Callithrix jacchus: one gene and its partners. The protein of the gene in region 1 binds, or shares a complex with, the protein of each later gene. Links are inferred from orthologs where the notes say so. Each region holds a gene or a part of one and is shown on either strand. Other genes may lie near its edges.

Region 1 (3,745 bases):
TGGCTTTGGGCGCCGCGCCCCCGCCGCCCCCGCCACCCCCGCGGGAAGACGGGGAAAAGTACGCGGCAAAGAAAGAAACTCAGGCTCGCGGCGCGGCGAGGCCGCCGGGCGGAAGCAGGCCCGGCCGGCGCGGGGGTTACCTGGGATCTGCCCATGGTCGGTCCGGGGGTGCCGGGACTCATCGCCGGGTGACTCCTTTGTTGCGCGGCCGCCCAGGCCGGGCTGGCAGCGGCGTACTGGGCGCCCATGTCCTTGCCCAAGCCCATGCCCGCGGCCGCCTGCTGGCCGCCCGCCGCCGCCCCCGCCGCCGCCTGGGACTGGGGCTGCGACGGCGGCGGCGGCGGCGCGCTGGGGCTGCTGTACTCGGGGTAGCTGCCGCCGTAGCTCCGCATCATGGGGCTGGGCGAGGTGAGCAGCTGGTTGAGGGTCGGGGTGGCCCCCGACGGGTGCTGGTTCTGCCCGGCGAAGCGCTGGAAGCCCCCCGCCGCCGAGCCGGCGGCCGCCTTGCTGAGGCTCGCGGCCCCGCCGCCCCCGGGGCCCATCATCATGCCGCCGCCCTGCTGCCGGGGGGAGCTCAGTACCCCGTACCCCGCGGACGAGCCCCCATAGCCGCCGCCGCCGCCGCCTCCTGCTGCTGCTGCCGCCGCCGCGGCCGCCGCCGCCACAGCTCCCGCTCCTGCTCCTCCTGCTCCTGCTCCTGCTCCTCCTCCTCCTCCTCCTCCTCCGCTGCCTCCTCCTCCTCCGCCGCCGCCGCCGCCGCCGCCCGCGCCGGGCCGGCTGTAGCCCGGATAATGGTTGCACTGGCTGTTGGGGTACCCTTCGTGGGAGTTCTGCAGGGGGTCCATGCTGCCGGGGGCCCCGGCGGCGGCGGAGGCGGAGTGCATCATCCCCATCCCGGGGCTTTGTTGTCCGCCATGTTGATCAAAGCAAGGCCCAGCGCGGCCGCCGGGGCCGCCGCTCGCAGGGGCAGCGCTGCCATAGTAATTATTAAACTCCGGGACGGCCGCCGGGCCGCCGCCGCCCCCGGGCACGGCGACCGGCGGCTGCTGCGCGCCCAGGGCGCCCACGCCCGGGTGCTCGTAGCGGCCGCCCGCCGGCTCCCCCATCTTGGGCGGCGCGTCGTCCTCGTCGCCCGGCTTGCTCAGCAGCGGCGGGCCCGGGGGGTCGGCCTGGCCGCCCGCGGCACTGTCCTTGGCGCCTCCATGTTGCGGCTGCTCCATGTCGGGGCCGGGCTGAGGCGCGCCGCCGCCCGCGCCGCCCAGGCTGTTGTTGTTGGAAATGGGATGTTGCTGCTGCTGCTGCTGCTGTTGCTGCTGCTGCTGCTGCTGGAACTGGTTTAGCTGCTGCTGTAGTGCGTGGTGGTGGTGGAGGTGGTGGGCATGGTGGTGATGGTGGTGGGCATGGTGGTGGTGGTGGTGCTGCTGGTGGGGCGGCGCGGCGGGGGCTTCGCCAACGGTTTTCAGTTTGTGGTTGGGGAGCAGCCCCGTCTCCATGGCCGAGCCCGGGCCCGACGAGGAGGAAGAGGACGCCGCCGCCGCCGCGGAGGAGGAGGAGGACAGCGCGGCGGCGCTTCCACCCTCCTTGAGAGCCGCCTCGGAGCCGCCGCTCTTGGCGCTGTGGGTGCCGGCGGCGGCGGCCGCGGTGCCCGCATTATGGGCCATGTTGAGTTCGTGACGGGGGAGCAGGGGGTGGTGGTGCACACTGTTCAGGCCGCCGCCGCTGTCGCCGCCGCCCCCCGGCATGGGTCCCGGTGCCGCCGCCGCCGCCGCGCCGCGCGCCCCCGCCTCCAGGTCCCGGGCCCCGGGCGCCGGCCGCGGCCCGGGGGGCGCCCGCCGCTCGCCGCTGCCTGCCCGCGCCCGCGCCCGCGCCGCCGCCGCCGCCGCCGCCGCTGCTGCCCGCGCGGCCATGATCGCCGCGGCGTGGCGAGGCCGGGCGGGGGGTGGGGGGAGACAATAACCCCCACTTTTCAGGCCGCGGCCCCTCCTGTGCGCATCCACGCGGCCCGCCGGGAAGCCGCGACCCCCTCCCCCTCCTCAGGCCCCGCCGGAGCGCCGGGCCGGGCACGCCTTACGCTCTGGGCCTGCTCCTGCTGTGTGCTTTCATGGTGAAAGTTTTTAGTTCAGGTTTAAATGAAACTTTTCTCTTTTCCTCTCTAACCCGGATATGGGTAAATACACGACTGGCTGAGCCTATCGGGCCCAGCATGGCATGAGAAGAAGCGGGCGAGCTCCAGCAACTATTATCCACTTCGCTCGCATTACTCCCGCGCACTCGCAAAACGCGGACTGGACTCGTCCCCGGGCTGCAGTCGCCGCCGCCCGCCCGCCCCGGCTCAGCCTCGCGGGGCCCAGCCGGGCTGGGACTAAGGCTGGGGCCAGGGCCGGGGCGGCTCGGCGGCGGTCCGGAGCGCGGCGGCGTGGGGCGGCCGGAACCTGCACTTTCCCCCCGGGCCGCTGTCTCCTTGCCAACCGGGCGTTCGCGTGTTTGTTTTCACGTCTAAAAGGAACGATACAAAGGTGGAAAACGAGTCTGACGAGCAGACAAAAGAGGGAGAAGGGCCGGAGAACAAAGTTGTCTGTTGGCCTCAGAGGTTACAAGGAGCCGACGGAGAAAGAAAATATTTAGGCAATCTGTGCAAAAGCACGGTCTCTCCCAGGAGTTATGTAATTCTCAGAACGTTTGCCTCTGCCTTGATTTCGGGCCATCGGCGTAATTCCCACAACTTCTTCCAACTGCAGAATTAGTAAAGATTTGAAATGAAAGTTAGCCCCGGTCAGAGAGCCCTGTGCTTTGTACACAGCAGGTACTTAATAAATGTTTATCACTCGTTCCAAAGAGAATGTTTACATAACTCTTTCTGAAGACACCTTAAACACGTATTAGGCTTGTCAAGGAAAACTCCAAGTATTCCCAAAGGAGCATTTTTCTTATTATGTGCACTTAGATGTCCTCTCTCGAGTATGTACAGAGGTGTTTTCTGCTCCAACTTCCACAGGAAAATTTAACTCTTGGTGCCAGAACAGCGACAGCTATGGGTTAGCTTGTATCTTCATAAATCTGCATGACACCTTTCATCCTATTTCAGAGCTGCATGTACACAGTTAACCCTCTTGATATACATTCAAAGAAATGTGAAACAAAACAAAAATATTATAAACATTATATTGAATAAATGTAACCAATAATAATGTAAAACAGTCTAATCCTAAAGTAGAAACGTTCCATACTTTGTTCTCTTAAAAACTGGTGTCTATCATTTTACAATGTTTTAAACGTTTGCATTGTTACTAGTGTTTTAAATATTTGCATTGTTATTAATCATTTAGTAACATTTTGAAAAGCAAGACTTCTTAATCTTAGGCAATGGCCCACTTGTACCAGTGCGGACTCAGTTTTCACGGAGAGAAAGCATTTAAAAGCTGGCAGAAACAATATTTAAGGTTTTGTTAGGGCATAGTTTTCCAAAATTATTTCATTCTTCAGCTTTCCATAAAAACTATTTTGATTCATTTCCACTGCAGTGGTTATTTGTTTGACCAAGTGTAAATATGTTACATGACTAAATAGAAAAGGAGAGACGGGAAAACTGGTGACTAATTGGGCTGGGGGGGGAGGGAATCAGGTGCACACCCAAGGGTCATTACAGAGTGTAGAAACAAGAAATTGCAATTCTACGCAAACAACTGGAAAACGGGGTATATCATAGTGTGTTAGAGAGAATAACAGAACCATAAGATGAATTCGT
Region 2 (3,645 bases), on another chromosome or scaffold:
AAGTATGAAAATTATTAAACGTGTCTTCTGCTAAACTGTTTTTAGATCTAGGGAAAATTGAGTAAAGAGAATACAAGGGAAGGGTGTGGGGAGTTTGTCCAGAGGGACCCACTGCCTCCCCACCCACCTTTCCTCCCCCTTGCCTCCCCAGTTTCCAATGACCACATGGCTGCTGTCAGATGAATAACTTTTAATCCAGCCCCGCACCCCAAAGCGGCAGAGGAGTGATGCCAGAGCCTGGGGTGGAGCGCTGGAGCTCTGAGTGCGGCCAGAAGGTCCTTCGTGCTGCTTGTTCCCGGGCTCCTAGGTGTTGCGCACAACCAGCGACTGCTCCAGCTCCTGCCTGCGCTGCTGGATCTTTAGAGGAAGTGAGAGCAGGAGCAGGTGTCAGTGTTCCTGGTGAGTGATCAGGACCACCCCACCACCTGACACTGCCCACCCTGGAAGAGCATCTGGGAGCAGGGGTCTGCTGCATGGTCAGGCATTGTGGTGAAGCTTTACTGTGGGGAGCTAAGAGGGCTGCCCACAAGCTGAACAGGGAGGTTTCTCTTGGAGTTGAGGAGGGGGAAGCCTCAGGGCAAGGGACCCTCCATACCTTGCAGTAGAAGTAGCGACTGACGGCCTCCTGGGACCAGGGCTGGTGGTAGAACTCAGCCCGGCGCTCCTCTTCAGGGTTGCCAGCTACATCTGTCATCACCTGGGAGGGGGCATGGGGTCAGCCCTGAGCTCCAGATCCCCTCACCTGCCCTGGAGTACATTTACTGTCTCTCCTGATGTGCTTGTCTTCTACTCCAGTACTCCCTGAGTCTCCCTCTCACCTTGAGGTCCCGGCTCTGGGAGCGGAGCAGATCTTGGACATAGCCTTTGGGGTCTCTGGAGAAGCTTAGCATGAAGTCCCTCTGGATCTTGAGCTGATTTATGGACTCAATCGTCTCATGGATCTGCAGGTAGAAAGATAGATGCTTTCCACCTGGCTGTGGTGATGTGGGAGAGGGAGGGGAAAAGGAGGTGGGTGGGAAGGGGAGGGAGAGGGGTTTTCTTTGGTGAAAGACAACACCTCAGAGCCCCTGATTCCTCTGAAGTCCCAGGGGAGGAGGGGATGGGCAGAACTAAATTTGGAATAAGGTTCAACTCCAAGTAGCATGGAAGGGCCATGTGTACCCCACTGGCCCACACTCTGGTCGCTTCTTTTTCTTTTCCTTTTTTTTATTTAACCCAGACTGCTCATCTGCAACCACACCCTGGTCTCAGAAAAGTCTGCTTTATCATCTCTGGGTTAATGTCCCATTCCAGCTCTGGGCTTGGGCCCCACCTTACTGTCCAGAGCACTGATCTCCTGCTGGTTGGCTGTGGACAGGAGGAAGCTGCTCATCTGCCCCTTTAATGGCTCCTCCACCTCCACATCAATGTCATAGCATGCCGTCTTCTTCTGGTCTGAAGGGTCCACACTGCCAGGGAAGTGCAGCCCTCAGTGTTCATGATGCCCCTATAGAGGCCCTAGGGCCCCGGGGTGGGGGCAGCTCCAACAGGGAGGGAGAAAATACGGGAGTGGGAGGAGAGGGAGGGGCAGGGAAGGCAGGAATGAGATCATTCCCTGGTCTGAGAAGCAAGCTGGGGCCACCTCACCTGATGACATGGTTGATGACAATTGGGTCAGGGGGCAGTAGCAGGGCTGTGAGGCGCTGGGGAATCTCAGAAAACTTCAGCCGGGGACAATCAAAAATCTAGCAAGACAGTTGCAGGGAGAGATCACTCTTGGAAGAGATCATCACGAAGTTGTAGATCCTTTGGTTGTAGAAAGGCCTCAAGAAGCTGAGAGTGAGTCTGATTCCTCAGTGCACAGGGGGATGGGATTGGGGTGGGCTGGTCTGGTGGTGGAGCCACCAGCACGGCTGACAGGGCCTGGGGTGGGTCAGTGTGGGGCAGGTTGAGAGTGCAGGCCCTGGGCCAGTCTATGTATCGGTCCTGCCTCTCCCATCACTATGCAGCCATGAGCAAGCTGACACCTCAGGCCTCTGTCTTCATCTCTAGAGTGGGGGTGAAAATAATATCTATCTCAGGGCTGTCGTGAGAAGTCGGTGCTAATGCACATAAAGTGCTTGGAACAATGCCTGGCACATGGTAAGTGCCCAATAAATATCAGCTGCTATTTTTACTCCTCAGGTTTATCTGCCGTATTTATTTTAAAATGCATTAATAAGAATACTCTCTTTTGGTGGAATTTCGCTAAGTCCCTTTTGCAGCAATTTGATCTTCCCTAACTGCCCAGGAGAGTAGACGGGGCAGGTATTATCACTCCACTTCAAAGATAAGGAAACAAGTCACTTACCCAGAGTCCAGACTCAGGACTAGAACCTGGGAATCCAAACTCCAGGTGCCAAGAATATTACATTCCAGAAAGCAGTTGGCTTTGTAGGGTTCCAGGTCTTCCTAACTTGGGGGGGCGGGGGCGGGGGCTAAAATGGATTGGCTGCAGCACAGAGCTAATCCACAGTAGGACCTGAACTAGAATCCTGGTCGGTCTCTTGGCTCCAAGACCATAACTCTGTACTGCTTCTGCTACTCAGGAAACTAGAAGGGAGGGTGGTAGTTACCTTGGTAGAGGTACTTCCCCTGCTGGAGAACTCTGCCTGATCCCCAGGCCCCTGGGTTCAGGAGGGAGGTTACCTGCTGGAAATACTTGTCCCCATTGATGTATTCCTTGTCATGGGAGTCCTGCAGCCTGTTGGTCTTCACATACTGCCACAGGGCCTGGACGATGGCTGAGCGGCTCTGTGTGTGCAACCCCAGCAGCCGTGCTAGACGGGGATCCAGTTTGAACTGGGGAGGCTGGGAAAAGGGGACTGTGAAAGTTAGATCAAAGGGAGAGAATGGAAGGAGCCCAGGGCCAGGCCATTCAGGACTAGGGGGATGCGTTGACTGAGGGAAAGACAGGGTTGGGAGGGGAAGGAGGTCTCTCAAGATGGACCATGTTGGGACCTAGGCCTGCCCTAAGGGCCTCATGTGACATGTGCGGGGCAGCATGGCAGATGCAGACCTGGTAGTCCAGCATGAGGAGCAGCGTGCAGCGCACACTCAGGTCCCCAGGCCGTTTCACCTGGAAGCCGTCCGTCTCCTGGGTTGTGGGTGTCCGATGCCACTGTCCAGGAGAGAAGAGCTGGGTCACCCAAAGGCCCATCTGGAGCGGTGGGGCCCAGGACTCTAGGGTGGTCCGTGATCCAAATCTGGGCTGGTTCTTCAGGGATTCTGGCCTGTGGGAGGGTGGCAGTTCAAGGGCAGAGGGGATCTTGGTCTCACCTCAACGAGGTGGTTATCAGGGCCATAAAGATCTTTGTCCAGCTCAATGACCAAACTCTTGAAGAAAGAAGAGAACTTCCGCTTCTGTTTGCTGGGCTGTGGGAGAGAAACAGGGACCGTGGGTGCAGAAAAGGGACTGGGGGCAGAAGAAGGCCAAGTTGGCAGCAAACAGGGCAGCGGGCTTAGATGAAATCCTCTGCACCCGAATGTTTCTAGGCCTGCCCTGCCCTGCCCTGCCCTGCCCTGGACCGGCCTGACTCTCTAGCCCTTAGTGCAGACACCTAGTTCTGTTCTCAGTGCAGCCCAGGCCCACCCTAGGACACCTGGAGAGACCTGCGCCGGGACGTA
Region 3 (3,745 bases), on another chromosome or scaffold:
CTCCTGGGTTCAGGCAATTCTCCTGCCTCAGCCTCCTGAGTAGCTGGGATTACAGGCATGTGCCACCATGCCCAGCTAATTTTTTTTTTTTGTATTTTTAGAAGAGATGGGGTTTCACCATGTTAACCAGGATGGTCTTGATCTCTTGACCTCGTGATCCACCCGCCTCGGCCTCCCGAAGTGCTGGGATTACAGGCTTGAGCCACCGCGCCTGGCCCTGATTTCTTTTAAAGTCTAAAATACAACTGGTCTGGATGCGGTGGATCTCACCTGTAATCTCAGCAATTTGGGAGGCTGAGGCAGGCAGGTTGCTTGAATTCAAGACCCAGAAATTCCAGACCAGCCTGGACAACATGGTGAAACCCTGCCTCTACAAAAAATGTAAAAATCAGCTGGGCGTGGTGGCTCATGTCTGTAGTTCCAGCTTCTCCGGAGGCTGAAATGAGAGGGTCACTTGAGCTGAGGAGGTAAAGGCTGCAGAATCGTGCTGCTGCACTCCAGCCTGTGTGACAAAGTAAGAGCCTGTCTCAAAAACAAACAACACAACCCCAAACAACCACAACAACAGAAGCCACTGTACTTAAAGGTGGGTGATGAGAAATCTGTGTGGTATAGGCTGGGGAGGAAAAGAGAGCTAAGCGACCATTTTCTAAAGTGGAAAATTCATAGATAATACCTAAAACAAAAAACTCCACAGGCTGCAATTTAAGTGTGATATTAGAGATATGAAAGAAAATACTCCAAAAATTAGCTCAAAAGGGAGAAAAACAGTTGCTTTTATACAGGGGGAAATATAAGGAGGCAGGTAAGAACATTTAAAAAATGTCTACCGGCGCCCGCCATCACACCTGGCGAATTTTTTGTAAAAATACAAAAATTAGGCATGGTGGCGGGTGCCAGTAATCCCAGCCACTTGGCAGGTTTAGGCAAGATAATTCCTTGAACCCAGGAGACACAGGCTGAGATCTCGTGATTGCACTCCAGCCTGGGCAACAGAGTGAGACTCTGTCTCAAAAGATTAAAAATTTAAAAAGGACTTGGAGACGGAGAAGGGCAGCAGAGTAAGATAGAGCAGGAAAAGAGCAGGAGGGCTGGAGACAGCTAGGAAGGAAAGAAAGTGGTGAAGATGGAAAAGGGAGGTCAAGTGGCTGAGAGTGGTGGCTTGAGGGGAGAGGAGAGGTGGATGGTGGGAATGAGGTTCGGTGGAGATCAGGGCCGGACGTGGAGGTATGGAGTAGGCACTCACCGGAGCCTCGGACATGAGCACTGGGTGCAGGTTTGGCTCAGACTTGACATGTTTGCTGTAGGTGTGATCCAGGATGGCTCGGAAGCACTCCCAATCCTCAACTGGGGCCAGAAGAGCAGCACAGAGACGCAAGAGGGCAGGCAAGGGTCAGGGACAGGAGGAAAAGGAGGGAGGAAGGCCAAGTCCAAAGGAGGGTCAGTGAGTCCAGCTCCAGGGGAACACCCTCCTTCCCAGAAACCTGATGGGCCCCTGGGATGGGAACCAGGCAGCTCAGGGAGGCAGTGAGAAGAACCCTGGGACTGCAAGGAAGAATCCTTGGGGAGTTGGGGCTGCTATGTCCCAGATCATGGAGAGTGAGCTCCCTGTCTGTGTCAGGAGGTGATGGGTGAGGGCCCCTTACTCATGCCATTCTTCAGGGGCGACATGACCTCTGCTCCATCCCGAGGCACGTGCAGGGCATTGGTGTCGATGTGAAAGATCTTCCCTTTCTTCTCTTTGTCCCCCTCCAGCTCCAGCCCGCCCCCCTCCTCCGCGGCCAGCAGCCCCACCGTGGTGGGGAAGTCAGCCTGGTGGGGAAGGGTTGGGGGAGGATCGGCAGGGAGAGGGGTCACCTTCTTGCCCCTGTCCAGCCCCACAGCGGGGTCCTCAGCCCGCCCCTGGGTTTATTCCCGCATTCCCGCTCAGCAGAGCTTCTGGGCGATCTGGGAGAGCCCTGGGTCACTGGAAAGCCCGAAGAAGGGTTCAGAGCCCCTAGAATTTGGGGAGGAGACTGAAAGGCTCACCTTGGGGCAGTCCTCCCCAGCGTACCCAGCTCGGACTGAGAAGGAGCCAATGTCAAAGACCAGCGCCCCCACCTCATCTGTGCGGGGAAACAGGCCTGTAAGGGGACTTCCCCCGAACTCTCTCCCGCTAGGTAGCTCCGAGAGGAAGTCAGGGCAGAGCCACAGTCTCACTACTTTCATCACCAGTCTGGGGCAGGTGGGACTGGAGTCCGAGGTCCTGGGACTGGGGGCAGGGGCATCACACCGCCAGGTCCCTGCTTGCCCAGTGGACTTGCTCAGGTCGCCCTCCAGACGGGAAAGGAAGGGGCCGGGGACCAGTTGGAGGTGGGTTGCAAGGTAGAGAGGTTGGGCCCGGTGCGCGCGAGGCGTGCAGGGAGGACCGAGCGTAGGAGTGGCGGGAGACCCAAGCCTGGGACCGGACCCATTCGTGCACGGAGGTGACAGGCCCCGGGGTGCCCAGAGCTCGGATCGATGACGCGGGTTCGGAACGCAAGGCTGCGGGAGCCCGGGGCCCAAGGCTCGCTCACCTCCGCCGTAGACGCCGCCGCTCATAGTGCCCTCTGCGCGGCTCGCGGCCCGTGGGCGGCGGCGGGATCAGCACCGAGGCGGCCGGACAGCTCCCGGGATCCCGGGCGGGGCGGGGCGCGAGGCGGCCAATCGGGAAGCCGGATCCCCCGCCCCCAACGGCGCCGCCGATTGGCTGCCAGGCGAGACAATGACCCGGACGGGGGCCGCTGCTTTAAAGGGAAAGACGTCCCCGGTTAGGCGGCCGGGAGGAGATGGGGCAGGGGGCTCCCAGCAGGGACTTAACCGTTCCTAAGGAACGCGTGGCAGAGAGGAGAGAGCAGGAAAGAGGAGGAGACCAAGACTCTGTAGGACGACTGATGAGGTCCTTACCCCCTTGCTTTTTAGTTTTATTATTTTAATTCTTTTGGTAGAGATGGGGTCTTGTTATTTCGCCCAGGCTGGTCTCGTACTCCTGAGCTCAAACGATCTTCTTCAGCCTCCCAAGTAGCTGGGATTACAGGCAGGTGCCAGCACACCTGGCTAATTAAAAAAAAAAAAAAAATATATATATATATATATATATATTGTAGAGATGGGGTCTTGCTGTGTTGCCCAGGTTGATCTCTAACTCCTGGCCTCAAGCAATCCTCCTACCTCAGCCTCTCAAAGTGCTGGAATTATAGGCATGAGCCATCTCGTCCCTTCTCTATTCCCTTACCTTTTAAAGCAGGGTTGCGGAGAGAACTCCAGTACCCAGAAGGGTCATCTATCTTCAGGCTGCTGTGAGCCCGGTTTTGCCAATCCCGGGCCTAAATGGAATCACTGAGAGAGGGAGGGAAGGGAAGATTGAGAGAGAGACCAGAAGGAGTGTGTCTCCATCTCTCCCTGTTTTTTCCTTTTTTTTTTTGACACGGACTCCTGCTGTGTCGCCCAGGCTGGAGTGCAGTGGCGCGATCTCAGCTCACTGCAACCTCTGCCTCCTGGGTGTTCACGTGATTCTCCTGTCTCGGCCTCCTAAGTAGCTGGGACTACAGGCGCGTGCTAATTTTTTGTATTTTTAGTAGACACGGGGTTTCACCGTGTTAGCCAGGATGGTCTTGATCTCCTGACCTCGTGATTCGCCGACCTTGGCCTCCCAAAGTGCTGGGATTACAGGAGTGAGCCACCGTGCCCAGCCTTTTTTTTTTTTTTTTTTTAAGACACGGACCCT

What was found.
Region 2: ARID1B (region 1) and SMARCD3 share a complex: the UniProt entries of both Homo sapiens proteins name them as parts of the neuron-specific chromatin remodeling complex. The link is inferred for Callithrix jacchus from reciprocal best matches to the Homo sapiens genes ARID1B and SMARCD3.
Region 3: ARID1B (region 1) and ACTL6B share a complex: the UniProt entries of both Homo sapiens proteins name them as parts of the neuron-specific chromatin remodeling complex. The link is inferred for Callithrix jacchus from reciprocal best matches to the Homo sapiens genes ARID1B and ACTL6B.

What each region holds. Positions count from the first base shown.
Region 1 is NC_133505.1:163,604,703-163,608,447, reverse strand, and holds the start of ARID1B (AT-rich interactive domain-containing protein 1B), read right to left. Parts: upstream 2,211-3,745; 5' UTR 1,908-2,210; coding exon 141-1,907; intron 1-140. UniProt on the Homo sapiens protein: Involved in transcriptional activation and repression of select genes by chromatin remodeling (alteration of DNA-nucleosome topology).
Region 2 is NC_133512.1:96,971,944-96,975,588, reverse strand, and holds the end of SMARCD3 (SWI/SNF-related matrix-associated actin-dependent regulator of chromatin subfamily D member 3), read right to left. Parts: intron 3,394-3,645; coding exon 3,298-3,393; intron 3,140-3,297; coding exon 3,038-3,139; intron 2,830-3,037; coding exon 2,668-2,829; intron 1,725-2,667; coding exon 1,627-1,724; intron 1,449-1,626; coding exon 1,313-1,448; intron 942-1,312; coding exon 819-941; intron 698-818; coding exon 596-697; intron 358-595; coding exon 304-357; 3' UTR 174-303; downstream 1-173. UniProt on the Homo sapiens protein: Involved in transcriptional activation and repression of select genes by chromatin remodeling (alteration of DNA-nucleosome topology).
Region 3 is NC_133503.1:13,071,999-13,075,743, reverse strand, and holds the start of ACTL6B (actin-like protein 6B), read right to left. Parts: upstream 2,663-3,745; 5' UTR 2,581-2,662; coding exon 2,556-2,580; intron 2,106-2,555; coding exon 2,029-2,105; intron 1,813-2,028; coding exon 1,647-1,812; intron 1,348-1,646; coding exon 1,247-1,347; intron 1-1,246. UniProt on the Homo sapiens protein: Involved in transcriptional activation and repression of select genes by chromatin remodeling (alteration of DNA-nucleosome topology).